2 linked regions of the Lepisosteus oculatus genome follow. The protein of the gene in region 2 interacts with the protein of the main gene of each other region in a biochemical or structural test. Links are inferred from orthologs where the notes say so. Each region holds a gene or a part of one and is shown on either strand. Other genes may lie near its edges. The genes, in order: histone deacetylase 9 and pkd1a.

Evidence for each region.
Region 1: the proteins of pkd1a (region 2) and histone deacetylase 9 form a complex in vitro, tested with the Homo sapiens proteins (2 studies listed by BioGRID, with this or other methods). The link is inferred for Lepisosteus oculatus from reciprocal best matches to the Homo sapiens genes PKD1 and HDAC9.

The regions. Positions count from the first base shown.
Region 1 is NC_090705.1:2,103,358-2,111,581, forward strand, and holds the start of histone deacetylase 9, read right to left. Parts: upstream 3,736-8,224; 5' UTR 3,562-3,735; intron 1-3,561. Other genes in the region: snx13 (sorting nexin-13), read left to right, coding at 7,661-7,774. UniProt on the Homo sapiens protein: Responsible for the deacetylation of lysine residues on the N-terminal part of the core histones (H2A, H2B, H3 and H4).
Region 2 is NC_090714.1:2,682,467-2,690,552, forward strand, and holds the start of pkd1a (polycystin-1), read right to left. Parts: upstream 3,441-8,086; 5' UTR 3,219-3,440; coding exon 2,965-3,218; intron 1-2,964. UniProt on the Homo sapiens protein: Component of a heteromeric calcium-permeable ion channel formed by PKD1 and PKD2 that is activated by interaction between PKD1 and a Wnt family member, such as WNT3A and WNT9B. Both PKD1 and PKD2 are required for channel activity.

The sequences.
Region 1 (8,224 bases), on a different chromosome or scaffold from region 2:
AGAGCCTTTACTGCCCTCTTCTGACACAAAAGTGCACTGCAAAGGCTGGCCCTTTTCAGAAGTAGTTCTCCCTGAAATCTGCCTCATTCTTTAAATTACTTCACATATGAGCCTGGTGATGAGTTTCTTATTGATCAGGAAACAAAAAGCTCATTACCTTTGTAGCATCTATTATAAAAGTACTTATCTTGTTTTTTCTCCAGGTTATATGAAACCAAAGATAGAAACCAGTCCATGTGGGACTCCACCAGGGCTGTGGTTTCCTCTCACTAGTACAAAGACTTGCTGTCTGTACCGTGGTGTCGCAAAACTGTTCATATGTTTTTGAATGTTGTTGTCTGTAATTATATTTTGTAAAGACCAATATACTTTTGTTATAATAATTTATTCAAATTGATTATATACTGTACATACGATTCTGACTACTAACATTCCACAAATTCTTTAACCACTAAACACATCTTGATTGTACGAGGTCAAAACACCGGAAAGCTCAAGGTCCTGTTGTCGATCTAGAACAAGGGGGTTGGGATTGGGTTAAAAAAAAACTCCATTTCACTCAACAGTTTTCCACAGCTGCTTAGCCCAACAAAGCTGCTTAAAAATGCACATCGCAATATTTTAGATGTTGCACACAATATACAAGTTACACCGCCTTATTGTAGCCTTGTTCAGTAATAAATGTTTATCGTACTTGTAACACTAATGTAAATGGACGTGTGAGAAAGGACACATCCCGTGACATGTGACATTTTTAACCACTCTTGTCCGGGGCTTGGAAATCCGTTTCACAATAGTCACAAGGAAATGTGACATGCCCTGTAGTTCTCTTTCAGTATGCCACTATGTCTGGGACAGGCATGGCCAGTAAGCTGAGATGTTAAAGAAGGCAGCGTACTATACCCTCTTTGCTAAAGACCAGTCCAAACAAAAGATTGGCAGCATTTTAAAGACAGTACAGTTGGACACTGCCGTGCAGTTGGATATCTTAATTAATAGAGCCATTCTCAGGGTGAGGATGCACTGTAGCACACATGCTGTACAACAGACCGGTGACATGTAAAGCAAATCATAATAAATGATCAAAGGAGGGGCATTTTTAAATGAGCCAGTGGATGATAGACAAAACATGCTTCAAAGCAAAGTGCTTTAATTTTTTAGCAGTTACACAAAACAGGTGGTCCAAATATGAAAAGGACTTGACACGAACAAGATTTAGAATGTCCAAAGTAAAGGGAGATCTGCAGCAGTCAGATAGAAACGTGAGAATATTAGAGAAAGATTCTGAAGAAAAAAAAAGACACTATTTTGAAACGTTGCATTTCAGCTCATGTTATATCCAAATCTTAAAATTTAAAATTGTGCAGAAACATATCACAAGATATGATAATATCGTTGTTCCCCAAACTCTGAGTGAATCCATAATGTGGCGGTGAACACCCAGATACCAGGCCAGAAAAGCCCAGATCTGTCAGGGAATGTTGTTACCAAGAGTTTTACAAACCCGAGTTTAAAGAAATAAAAGAAATGAGGCAGAAGTTAGTCATAAAACCATTATGCTGGATGACTGAAAAAGCTCGACATCCTTCTTTAAGGGAATCCATACATACTGTATCAGGCATAAACCTTTACCAAGTACAATAATTACAGATTATTATAGCTTTTTGGGGTTAAAAGGTATAATAAGGATACCTTGTCGAATAACCTATTTAAATTACACCGAAGTCTAACCAAATTGTAATTGAGATTAGTTAAGCTGTAATATATTGAGAATTTTAATAACAGAGAGAGATAACAAAGAAATTCCGGTAGATAATTACTGGGGGAAACGCTACTACTAGTATTAATAATGCACAGATAATAAAATTTCTCAGACTCACGGTTTGGCAAGTTCAGCTTCAGGACAAAAACTTAAGTTCCTGAAGGAGCAGCAAATCTATTGCTTTGCCCAACTACGCCTCTGCCCCTGTATTGACCTTGACAGGCTGACAGAACCGTGAGTGCACTAAATCGGACGTTCACTGGCTAAACAATTTGTGAAGCAGAGCAGTCAGTGGAACAGGGCACGAGCACGTAAGGCAACCTGTGGGATACAAGACTGAGGCAGTTCTGGTTGCGATGAAACCTGCCAAGTTTCAAGTCAATTAGTATCATAGCTCATCACTGGAAGTTTGCATTTTGAAAAAAAAAAACATGGTGATTGTTTCGGTCATTTGGAGCAGCTCACACCACTTCATCACATGACAACTCTACGGTCACTAGAATGATAGCTACGGAGTTAATTGGAGTCAAGTAGGCATTCAACAGGAGCAGTCTGCACAAGAACGCATGGCAAGCTGAGGTCCTGGGTCAGAGGGGAGAATTATCACGGTTTTAAGGCACAGATCTTGGTTGACGCAGGACCACCATTCATTTGCTCAGTTGCCCAGTCTCTGGACAAAAAAAAACATTCAGAACACTGCTTGGGAGCCTAATAGTACAGTACTGTACAGTATGTCCAAGGTAAGATTGAAAATGAAGCCCACCTGAAAATGGCAAAAACCCAGACCGCACCTGAGGTTACCTTTCTTACAGAATCCTCTTGTGTCTCCTTCAAACAGTTGGGTGTGGCGTTTAAGATCTGGTGGGTGCTTTACTTCCTGAATTTAACCCGCTCCCGGTTTCGCTCTGAACAGCGTCTCAGAGCATGTTGTGCGTGGTCAACAAGCCAGCAAAAATGTTTTATGCTTTATGTGCGTCAAATGCTCAACCAATTAACAGATTGAAGTCTGTCATACATTCGTATGTCACTCACGTCTTGGGTGATCAGTTGTTTGCTAAATGTTAATGAGTTCTATTTATAGTCCAGAAATGGCATCATTTTATGCAGATCAGGAACGGGAAATTTATGCCTTTCATGTGCACCGCGATGTTGCCGCCTTAAACGGTGTTTAAATAAACACCGAAATAAAATAAACGTTATTATAATCCATAACAATTAAAGATGTCTTTTTAAACATTATGGCATCAATTTAGAAGAAGTGTACATCTTACAATAATGTATACGACAGCTCCCATACCAACAAAATTGTCCTAATGTTCTGCGCATGTTGATATTTAACATTGGGATGTACACTATATTGTGTAATTGATTTAAGTTCTTCCATCACGAACTGATTAGGAACCTGATTAACACCTCTGTGCGATATATGTCACAACTTGGCATCATTTAAGCCGTTTGCTTATTAAACTGGTCTCATCTTGTCGTGTCGCCTATGAGGCACGACTTAATTATTCATGCTCTTTAGTTATTTTGGTTTCCTTGGATTAACTAATGGCTAAAATCATTTTATAACACAAATGAAAGCGACCATAAAACGCTTCAGTCGCATGGGGGAAAACAAGAACAAGTTTTCAACAAGCTAAAATTGGCGAGCATAAGGCTCAGGGGCCAATCACTTGGAAATTGTGCTAATTACAAACTGCAAAGAAGTCACAGTTAACTAAACACAGCAAAACGCGTTGCTCGCGGTTGTCCTATCCCCTTGCTATTTATAGAACAGAATTACATCATTTTCTTACCTGGTATTTCTGCAGGGGGAAAAAGATCAAAACGCGAAAGGTTCCAGTATTAAGGTACAGTTTTTAATCTGGATGTGATCTTGGATATCGTGCCTTCCCGGAGAGCAAGGAGACAGGCTGAGAGCAGTGTTTTCAAATTGCAGTGGCAGAGAGATGCGATCAGAGCCTGTGGCGACACAAGTAGGATCTACTATAAATAGCAACACAGTAGAAAGCAGGCGAGATTGCTGGAGCTAACAACGAGGATCATTCACACAATGAGGGAAAATTAAGGCACGATAAACGCTGTTTATCGCACTAGTTCTTAAAACACTTCTGTTGTTTTTTATTGTGATTTTAAAACTACTTTGCGCCCCAAGAGAAAAAATGCCTTTTGAATCAATATGTATTTATAACCTTGTCTGCTGTAACTACAGTAGATAGAGAATAATGATTTATTATGATATATTTCTGTGCGCACTTTGCAAATAGGTTGTCTTGCAATTAACTGTGAGTTTGGCCTCAACTCATCTTTTTTTTTAAAAAAGGTTCCTTTCTAAAAATCGCTAGAATTTAGTTTTTTTTTCCTTAAGTTGATTTTTTTTGCTAAAACCCATAATAGGTTTTTCCTAAAGATAAATGTTTTTTTTCACTTTTAAGTTTCATGCCTCTTTATATAATTAATTTCAAATTATTAGCAAAGTGTCCATAGATATCAACTGACTTATTACCAAGTTTAGTTTTCAAACTTTGTTTTGTGCACCTCATATCATAATATATTAAAAGAGGATATATATTATATAATTATATATATATACTTTCCTGATTTCCATAATTTTATATTAAAACCCCGAAGGTACAAACGTAATAAATATGATATCTTTAAGGAGCAGACACCTTTTACATATTTTTAACTGTGTCTGTGTTAATAAAAACCCTCTGAAGTCTAGCTTCCTGCTGGTCATTAGCAGATGGTCTTAAGTTTTGTTAAAGTAATCACAGCTTGTGAGATTTCATTAAACAACTCTCTTAGGGGCTGGACAGAACCATTTTTTTCTGAGAATAATAATGAAAAGGACCCCTTGGGCACTTTTTTACTCGATTACCCAAAATGTTATTTTCATTTTAATTAATGGAGACCATCATGCACTGCTAATTTATGAAGAATAAAAAAGCAGAAACAATTACTTTTCAAATACAAATGCCTTGTGTCTAACCAACCAGTTAGGAATGTGTGTGTTCTTCATATAGCAAATCAATTATTTTTTTTCCTATAAGCCACATAAATCATTTTAAATGAATATTTCATTTTTGGGGAAAAGCATCATGACAGTCACTGCTATAGCCATACAGTATGCACAGTAGTCCTGGATAGTTACAGAAACATCTTAAGGAAGTGAAAACAATGAGTTGAAATTGTATGCTGATTTAACTATTTAAATTAGCTGTTAGTTTATGCAGAGTGGTGTTTTTGTGGCTATTAAATAAATAATTTTCAGTTACTTGATGAAGATTTACCGCAAACCACATGAAAAACATAATATTCATCAAATGCTCTTTCATGCAAACATGATTCTGAAGACCTTTTCCATTTTAAATCAACAAAGACAGCACTGTATCTGTCATACCAGTAGAATCTTGATCACAACAGATCAAATAAATATAGAATTATATAAAAAACACAAAATGTAATAAGGTATTTAGAGAGGAAACTCATACTAATAGTTTCCTTGAAAGAATGATCCTAAACAGACCTCCCAAAAAAACAACAAAAACAAAAACTAGTATATGAACAACACAAGAGACAATAATACAATGATGGTGAGAAAGACATGCATGAAGTTTTTAAGAAGCATTTTCATAAAGGTGTTTCCAAAGTGTCAATGCCTTTGAGGAATACATGAACATATACAGTAGGAACAAATAATAGGTGTATTCCTGCTGAAATGAGAAGACAGAAAACGCAACATTTCGGCTGTGGTGCCTTCTTCAAGTGTTACTTGTTCTTCTGCAGCCTACGCATGCTGACGCAGCTCCCCGCCTGAACTACCTGCACATACGTATGTAGCTCATATTAGCAAGTGGAGCTCCACTTAAAATTTCTCATTTTTGCACATCAAACACATCATGCAAAAGTGGTACTTTCACTGTCTTCGAAATGGCACCAGAATATTATTATTTTTTAATATTAATTGCGTAAATTGGCCTGCCATCCCAAAAGTTCTCTCTTACTGCAGACCTTTCCAGTAGGAACCATTATGAATCAGCAAAGATCTAATGAGATTAATATACATACTGGTCACAGTATGATAGAATAGCAAGTACTTGATCTGTTGTATAGAGAATACACCTAAAACAGAGAGCCACTCTCAAGTTCTGGGTTCTGAATTGTCATCATCAGTTAGGAAAAAGGTTTAGATTTCATCTTTACTGTGTTTTAAAATAAGATGAGTCATTTGTACAATATTCACAACTCCATGTGGTTTGAAGACAACACTCAGAAAAAAAAGTAAATTTGACTTTTAGCATGAGTGGTTCTTTGTTTGACTTTGTAATGCAGATTTTCAGATAAATGACATTTTAGCTGGATTGCTAATTTCTCAAGACTGGCTGCTTTGAAACTCTTCATTCTCTGCATAAAAATATATATACTGTAAATACAATTTATCTTGCTATGAGATAAAATTGTTCTATTGGATCTAAATTTGTAAATGCACAAGTAATAACCCATTAAAAAATACAGTTTCCGTCCCCAATGTCTTTATATAGTCAACTACAGTATATACTTTTGTTTTAGATTGCACCTAGAGGAGACTTAAAAAACTGTATCCTGTTATCTGATATCCCCTGTGTGGCTGGGCTTTTTTAACCTATTGCATTGTAAAACAAGAGTAAAGGTAAGGTGTCTTGTGACAAGTGCTCAGAAAGCAGTACACTGAATATCCTGACACCAGCTGCATTAAACTTTCATTCCAAAAGCAGAAAATCAGAATTGGGTTGGACAGGACAGAGTGCGTCACAGTGCAGTCACCTTGTGGGACTTACTGTAGACCTTCCTGGAACCACAATACACTTTACCTTCCTTGTGTGGTATCTCTATGATGCTTTTAACCCGTAAGCACATTTAACATTTTAGCATATTTTTGCTTTTATCATATCCACAAATCTGTCAGGAATAATGTTGTAATTATGTTTCTTTATTAGCCCTATACAATTTCTTGCATTAGGAATTCATCTTTTCACATACCCCAGCTTTTCTCCATGGAGACACAGACACACAGACAGGGAGAGAAGCTGGGGGTCAGAGCACAGGGTCTGCCATTGTACAGCACTCCTGGAGCAGTTGGGGGTTAAGGGCCTTGCTCAGGGGCCCAACGGAGTAGGATTCCTCTGCCAGCCGTGGGATTTGAACCGGCAACCTTCCAGTCACAGGCGCAGATCCTGAGCCACAGAGCCACCGAATAGCTGGGGAAGGCAGCACCTGCTCTGATATTTGGATTGTTACTGCAAGAGAGCTTCTTATTCTTACCCTAAGAGTAGCTACTTAGTTTTCCACTAAAACGTATTTGCAACAGTTGCAAAGATTAAAGAAGTTGCACTGAAAAGATAGAAAATAGCCTTTATAATAGAGAAATGGATCATCAGATTATAAAAAAACCCAATTGTATTTTAAAACTAGTTCTAGGAAATAAAATGCCGACCTTTTCTGTGTCAACACTTTCACTTGTGTGTGTTATTAGCTGCAGAACGTGTGGCTGAAAGTTTTACAGCACAAGTGTACAGTTATAAAGCAGCAGTGGCTGGTAGGACTGAACTAGAAAGCAAAAGTTCTTTTATCAGGGCCTTTGTAAATAAAAAGTACTATCCCAAATAATTGAAACCCTGTAGGGGCAAAGTACAACGTCTTGCAATAGATACGTGTAAGGAAGTGCGACCTGGAAAATCTGGTGTCTGTTTCGAAGATTGGGCTGCTGCCATGTACGAAACAAGCCAGAGCTTTTTATCCTCCGAGCTGCTCGTTAAACACAGACGGCAAGTCTGTCATAAAGGTGGAAATGTATAAACAACGAACACTGGGACCCAATTAAAGTCCTGTTGAAGAGCAGCACTGCTTTCCAGAATGGAAAATCTTGCACGCATGGTACATGACAAATCAAGCAGGCCTTGGGACTGCGTTTTCCTCCAGCCTTACCTTGTTTGGGACTTCACTGGAAGCTCGTTTTGCTGGCGACAGGTACCGTACTGAAGTATTTCTAAAAATAGCTTCTCCAAAAACTGAAGGACTGCAGCCTCTGTGTTTGCAGCTGGTGCTTTGTCTACCTTTTTAGTAAGAACGTTGTTTATGAAACAAAATTAATTCTATGAAAGATGATTTTATACATTTGTGAAGAAACAGGTCACATGTACTGTATAGGTAAACTGTAATTCACTTACTGTATGTTCATCTGAATGAAAATATGTGCCATGATTACATGTTATTTTTACTGAAGGAGTCATGCTCTTTGAACTGGTGTTTAAAATCCATCCAAATGTGACAAACGCACAGTGCCTTAGTTAATTTACATTTACCACAGCTATGCTGTGCAAAAAGCACTTTTGGTTCTATGGATGCTTTTCAACAGAATTGACAACAATTTACAAAATACATTTATTTAAAATTACAGAGTGCAAAGTGGTGTAACCA
Region 2 (8,086 bases):
TTACAAAATCACGAATGACACAAAATGACACTATAGTATGTGTTAAACATCCTAAAATTGAGCACAGAATGACTACAATGCAGTCAATCACAGAAACTAAGCAATCTAGAGCCCATTGAGTGCTGGAATGGAAGATCTCTATGGAAAATCAGGATGCTGCTAGAAGTGCTGCTGGATCATCTTCCCTTTGGGCCAGAATTTACGAACCAACATCCCAGTGTGGTAAATAGGGACTGTTGGATCTGCAGTCGTCCGGACGAGATGTTGAACTGAGGTCTTGACTACTCAGTTGTTGCAGTCGTTGTAGGGATTGTAAAAGCAGGGATCCTGGCTATAATTTAGTCTCAACTTGCACAACCTGGTCTCTCTAAAATGTCCCCCTTTATTCAACGGGTGAAGCCATTTCTCACTTCTCTGACCGGTCTGCAGTGTTATGGGGCCCCTGGTGCAGAAAAGCTACATTTGAAGTGGGTCCTTTTACCAGTGAAATGCTTTGGGATGAAGCACGTTATAAATTGTAATTCAGTATTATTAAAGTTTTTGAAACAAACGTTTCAGAAGCTAAAACAAATAATTGTCTTAAGTAATTAAGCTAATTATAATGATATTATTTTAAGAAAAAAATATTTTTAGATTAATTTAAAGAACAAAATACCATTCTTAGAGCTGCTAAGACAATATTCGGCACCTGCCAGGTACTGAAATAGCATGGAATGTATTTTGCAAATACAATCAACTTTTTGTATAACAGTTTTGCACTTTTACCCAACCCAACTGGTGCTACAGAGCCTTAATCCAATAGCTTTTGCAGGCCATCATTAAATCACCAATTTCTAAAGACATGGACCAATTCAAGTGTGTTTAATTAATCATGAGGTTTGTTAAATTAAGTAATTTAGAGGTCACTTAGGATTAAAATCGAAGTAATCTTTAACCCTCGAGGACATGAGTGGTCTTAATTGAATCGATAACTTGCTTGACTCATCAATAATTTATAAATGATGCCAGTCTCTGAAACCAGAGGACCTGTAAGACTAGCTGGATCAGGACCATGACTGGAGACCCCTGCTGTATAACTTCATCTGTTTACCGTATATTTACTGAGAGGCACTAAAAATAGAACACGCTATTCAGAACATGAGAAAGGTTGCAAACAAGAGGTGGCCATCCAGTCGATCTAGTCCATTTGATAGTATTCGAACTGATCCAGGGATGTCCTCCCGCTGTTTCTTGAAAAAAAGTCAAGGTATCGGCTTCAACAGCAGAACTGGGTAGCTTGTTCCACACTCACACAGCTGTATTGTTTCCAAGACTCTTTTGTTGTTTTTTATAACGTCTCCCATCTCAACAGCCTTTGCATATACAATACCATTCAGTTTTTATGCATGCACCCCAGCCTGATATTACAGTATAAGCATCATGAACAAGCAACGTGCACGGTTCTTTTCTGTTCTTGTGCGACAAAGGGATGCTCTTGGTTCTAGACACGGCATACCTCTGCATGCAGGTGAAGTTTCACATGTGGCATTTTACAGAATTACGTTTTTAACTACACTACATTGCGATGAGTTGATTGTTCCATCACTGCAGAGCTGAAGGCGTGTCCAAAACAGACCTATTGTTTGACCAAACAGACAAATAGGGGTATGTATCCTATTTTAACAAGACACCTCTCCATTTCTTTAAATTTTAAAGTTTTGATGATGTCTTTCGGGACATACAGAAAGACCTCTCTAATGTTTCGATTGGGTGTTTGAAACCCTTTTATCAGGCACTGTCAAATCACGTTCAATTTGCAGCGCTTTAATCTGGCTAGTGGGTGTTTTTGCCGTGGTTAAAGTGAAGGACCTTTTCTGTGCATCCTTCCAGAACCTAGTCCCCAGTCACTGAACCAAGATAAAACCAATCATAATTCTCAAACAGCACTCATCGGGTCGTTCTGCCCCGTTGAAAAGCCGTTATTGAAGCTGATAGTACTACTACATACTGTAGGAAAGTATTATACGACTGGTGTATTTAGAGGTCTTTTACACTACGCTGCGTCCTCGTCCTTTTACACCGAGGCTTATGTCCTCGTCTTCCACAACATAACGTAGCACAAATCCCAAACGCATTTTATTATTTTTTGTCAAACGCACAATACAAAAATGCAACTTACTTAAAAACAAAATCAAATGATGCATTAGTGTATAACTTGCATATCTGTGTTTTTTGTGAAGTAACCGACTACTGTAGTTGTGTTAGTCGAGGCGCTTCTTGGTGGTGAATTTCTTGAAAGGTTCACTGATCATGGTTAATCTGTACCAGCAAACCTTTAATCCATTTGTTTCATTCAGATATCGGTCAATGATTTCCAGTTTCACTGAAAACATTAGTACAGCAAGGGTACAAATTTCCGATGTTTATTTTTTAATGTATCTAATTAAAACATTTGACATATTTGCGGTGTATTTTAACATTCAGCTTATCTTAAATACTGTTTGTATATTTCTATATTAATCTTAAAATAGTTACTCACACCGTGTCCATGTTTATATTTTTCATTTGGTTAAATATGAAGTTTTTTTATAGGATTCATTAAATATTTTACTAAAGTCTTTGGAATTTAAAATATTTCACACTGTTTCGTTCAGTAGAGAACAATAACGGGGTTGTTTTCCTGCCATTCTAGTTCACAGCACAATAACTTTTAAACTAATCGAGAGTCTGTTGGCAAGCACCAGATGAAAACAGTCTCATACCCAAGATTGGATCAGACTAGTTATGCTGTATGTCACTAAAGTTACTTTAAAGCATTTTGTTTCCCACTCGGATACAAATATTTTCTCTAAAAGCTCAAATGATATTTTGAGACGTTGTTCCCCCCGGTAAACACACTGTAAATCACACAACAACATCAAGGACAAACAGGCAAAGAGCAGAAACTGATATTTTCCGCTAGGGATGTAAATCCCAGCTACTTACAGAATACTGGTGTAGTACGGGATGTCCGTCGCTTCTGGTACCCGGTCGAGCCCTGTGTTAGAGCAGTTAACGACACTTTGTGGTCCCACAACTGAACATGTACAGTTCTTGGGACAGTGATGGTTGACCGAGTCCACCATTCCCGAGGTGAGAGCAAAACACAAGGAAAGCAGTAGACTGGTGGAAAGTCCGAACAGTGAGGAACAGACGCCATGTTTTCGCTTGGATACAGTTTGTCCATTTCCACAAGGCATCGCTCACTCACATCGCATCGCCACTGAGGTTGCTAATCTCTCGGTCGAACTGGGGGGAAAAGTTTCTTCTTTCGGTTGTTTGCATGAATATCATTGAAACCTCCTTCCCCCCCCGATTCGAAAACCTTCCTTATTTGAGTGTACCAATTCCTCTGGAAAAAAAAAGTTTTGAAACTCCTCTGCTAAGTTCTCAGGAAACTTCCTTCTCTGTTTGCTTTCGAACTCTGCAATGCCATGTTTTCAACACTAGGGTTTCTTGCAGGGAAAACTTCTTGAGGTTTTGGGAGTTCACTAACGAGACGAATAATCCCTCAGCCCTGAGATGCTGTATAATTTTGTTCCGTATGAACGCTGTTGTATTGTAGCCCATTAACTGCGCGTAAAAATAAATCAGATCAAAACGTTCTTCTCCTTTATTTGGAGACACAAACATCAATAGCTGCAGCTGCACCTACTGTACATTAAATCGTTTTGCAACTACTAAGTAATTTTAATACAGGGTACGCTTATTTTTAAAACGAAAATGTCTGGTTATGCCTGGTTACAAGGTCACGTCAATTTGTGCTACTTTGTTGTAATTCCTTTCTATTATTGAAAATAGTCCGTTTGAGAATGTATATCCAATGCAGAAAGCTCCTATTATTTTTTTATACAACTAAACGAAATAAAAGAGGGATCTTTTTCTCGAATAAATGTAGACGTCCGTATAAATATGTAGAGTTTACAATAATGTTTAACTTTAAAGAAGTATGACAAGGATATACCGTACATTGTTACTGATATTTCTTTTTAGAATAGTTTAATATACACTTAATCAGTCCAGGTCTTTAACACAGTAAATGTTAAATATCCTTATTTTTAGATACATTGTTACAGACAGGCAGTAGTAGGATTCTGTTTTTCATTGTCCAAACAAAAACATTTACAGAAAGTGAAGTTTATTTTCATCATAGCTGGCGAAAAGTAAAGGGAAAATATAAATATTGAATGGATAAACATCTTAAACCAAATAGACTGATGTTTTGTATAGCTTCAATGTTCTGATAGCTTGCACCGTCTTTAATGCTTTGCATATACTGTATATTTTCATGGTTGAGATTGTGATATTGTATTAAATATCCAGAATTAAACAATATTCCAAACTTAGTCCTATCTCTAAACCTTCTCTAAAGTATGTAGGATTCAAGATACTTCATTTATAATAAGACTCTGGAGGACAGGTCATGAATTTCAAATCTCTGGCTTGTTCTTTGATGACTAGATAGCATTTTATATTAGGATATACCCCTCATATCTTGCACTTTCATAGTAAAAGATTGTATTTTGATGAGAGATTTTGGTGCCAGCCTTGAATTCAAATTAGAAGCCTCTTGCCAACAGTAAGGCATATCATTACACTGTCTGAATAACATGGCTATACATACAGTACTGAAGCTATTGTAGCCAAATTGCTTAAAGAAAGTTTAATACAGTGTGTACAATTTAGCTACGTTGAAGAGTATGTTTGTTTTGACAGGGGAAAACAACTTAGCAAATTTCAAATTTCTTCTATAAATGATCCCTTAGAATTCCAGAGGTTTTCCTTATTATTTATTTCAGTTGCAATTTGGCTCTCCAGCTAAGGAGATGAAAGGTACAATTTACACGAAAAGCAAACATAAAAGAAAATAGATCAAAGCCAAATACAGTCTAATTTTAAATTGTTCAGAATCGGTGTTCCCTAACCAGACAGAAGCATTCAGCATCTCAGAAAGTGCAAAATACTATTATCCTAAAAGCAACCTGCTGTTCCATTATCCTTATTATACCCCAAAACAAATCAGTCTTCTTAATACCATTGGTGTGTGCCAGTATCAATGAGGTACTTTCCTGTGGCTGTTTCCATTCTATAAGTACTTTTCTTTATAAAGAACAGAAGAAAGGCTGTAAATTAGCGGGTATTTGGCCCATTTGGTTCATTGGTTGAACAGTCTTCTGAATGAGCAACTACCTGACCTAGATAAGTATTGAATACAATAAAACCGTGGAAGAGAATAGCTCTACCAATGTCTTTTGTTCACCAGCCTTCTCCCTGTGATTGAGTGCATTGTTTTAGTTCTGTTCCATTGGTACTCTCTCATTAAAAAAAAAACACTAAGACTCGCATCTCCTCGAAACCGTTTGCTTTCACACTCCCAAAGGTTTTATCTTTACTAATTGTTATACCTGACAAGCTGACTCCGAAAGAGGGAGAAAAAAAAACACTTCAAATTAAGCAAATCACTAAAAAAAAACACGACTCTGAAAAGTACAAATAAGACAAAAGGGATTTGCTCATTGTTGTGTGAACATGGTATACTGTACAAGACATTGCAAAGCATTAATCCTCAATAAGTTATTCATTTTATTTTCGCTCCTCCCCCTCAGAATTGAGGAAACTGTGCTGCCAGCTCAATTCTGGAATGACCATGTGACAGCAAGCAGGCAGCTGTAACCGAACTGTGCTTCCTCTCATGAATGCAGCACTTAAGTTAATTTAAAAGACAAATACAAATGTACACTCTTTTGAAATACAGCCACCAAAGAAATAGTGTACTTGTGTAAGCATATGTCAATTTGTTGTTAATAGGTGTGTGACAGGCAGGGATATTTGGCTGTTGTAGAGGAACACAAGGAGCTGCACGATGGCGTGATGGTGAGCGTTGCTGTCTCCAGTGTTGGGGCCCTGGGTTCAGCTCTGGCCCCGTAGTCCTGTCTGGCTGGAGTTTGTACTGTATGTCCTCCCCTTGTCCCGCATGGCTTTCCTCCAGGCGCTCAAGATTCCCACATTCTGGACATAGTGGTAAGGTCAAGTGGGTTCTGGGGAAATCGGCCCGGGTGCGAGTGTGACCGTGTCTCTGTCTGGGCCTGTCCTGCGATGGACTGGCGTCCCTTCCAGGGTGTACCCCGCTTCGCACCAGTTGCTTATCAGGATCCCCAGCCGCCCGGTGTTGTAAAAGCAGTTAGAAAACGGACGAATGGATAAGAAAACAAAGTAAGTATATTACGTACTTTATTACGTTAATTACGTATTTAATGCAGACTTCCTTGCATGAATGCAAATACATTCATATTCATCGAACTAAAAACGAGTGCTTTAAGCTGCGGTTTCTATTGTGATATGTAGTGATTCATAATTATTTTTCATCTGCCCTATGTACCTCTCAAGGTTGAAGATCTTGCCTCCGTTTGATCTTTGTGTTATCATTTCTCAACCTTGAGTTGTGCTTTGAAATCAAAGAAAGGCTCCTGCAGTATTAATGTGGATATGAGTAACACATAACACCAGACATTTGTTTTTGCATTTGGATGGAAGTTTTTTTACAGACGCTACATTCAAACACACACTGAACACTAGGGGGAGCATCTTCCTCAGACTGTCCTGTACAGACGATCCACACCAGGAGTAGGCAGTTCTATAGGCTGGAGTGCTGGAGGACAAGCATGTGACTAAGATCAAATAAACTGCTTTTTCATGTCATAAACAATCGCTCGTTTTAAAGCATCTCTAAACCCTGCAGGATTCAGGTTCTCTTAAGGCACTTGATCTACGTTTTTTTTTAAAATGAGCATCCTGAGTCATCTGTAATTAATAATAGGAGTTTTTTTAAAGCTGGTCAGTATGGCTTTATATACAGTATATCTTAACCAATCACAGATCAATAGTAAGCAAAGTGACTACAAGACATGAAGTGCTTTGAGTATCACATCGTCTACCTACAGTACTGTATTTAAAAACGATTTTAAATAAAAAATGTGCCCCAAGCAAGCACACTCATTAATATTTACTTGCACTCCTCAACAGTTAATACTACTGCTGCTCCTTCCTACTACAGTTTAAACCAATAATAAAATTCTGATTTATGTACGGATCCTTTCTGTGTAATTTATTGTGCATTTATTGAACACTCAGAAACACTGAGAGTGAACATTGTCTATGGAATGTGAACTGAGCCAAGTAGTTCAATATCCTTGTATTTCTGTTAGTATAGCCTGTCTGTTATGTGTCAAGCTTTGAAAAGCCAGAGGCAAGTTTGTGAATCAATGATAGGACATCTTTCTGACCTGCGCAAGTGTGTATTTTTCATAATCAACACCACCACACACTTCAGTATCTACATCTACAGTGGCCACACAAGTGCCAGCCTGTAGTTTTGCTTGTGTTGGACAGTTTCCATTCTGGGATTGTGGCCACCAATTCCATACTTCACCAACTTCTGTCGTGGTTTTGATTCTTTTATTTGTACCAAAAAATAACACTGAAGCACATTTTGGGATTTCAGCTGGTCTGCACAAAGAGCTCTGTGTTTGGATTATAAAGCGACACTTTCTCTGTTTTTTGTTTATCCTCCCCTGTCTGTGTCTTTCTTTATTTTCAGGACATACAGTAGGTGCCTCACATAATTATTCAATTAACATGCTACGGAAGGGAAGTGTGACTCATGCCTACTGCAGACTATTACCAAGCTGTTGAATTTTGCTATATGTGATATTTGTCATGGTGCCTAATTGGCAGTATGAAATACTTTGTAATAACACCCTCTTTCACAGCAACCACAGAGACGTCTCTCCAGTATGCAGTTATACCGTACTTCAATCCAGCTCATTCCACTAGTGTCCTTAAGTATAACTGTCTGGATGTATAATGGGTCAGTGCACGACACTGATTCAGATTTGACCTGGACTGACATGAGTGGCTTATGCCATGCAGGGACAGATATCACTGTGTTTAAAGATCACAAGTTATGTTGAAATGGAACTTGTAGCAATATTCTGGAATGAATAAGAACCCAAGTATTGGATGAATAGAAAACTGGACTGGGGTTGAGCAAGGAGGGCATACTCAGGTA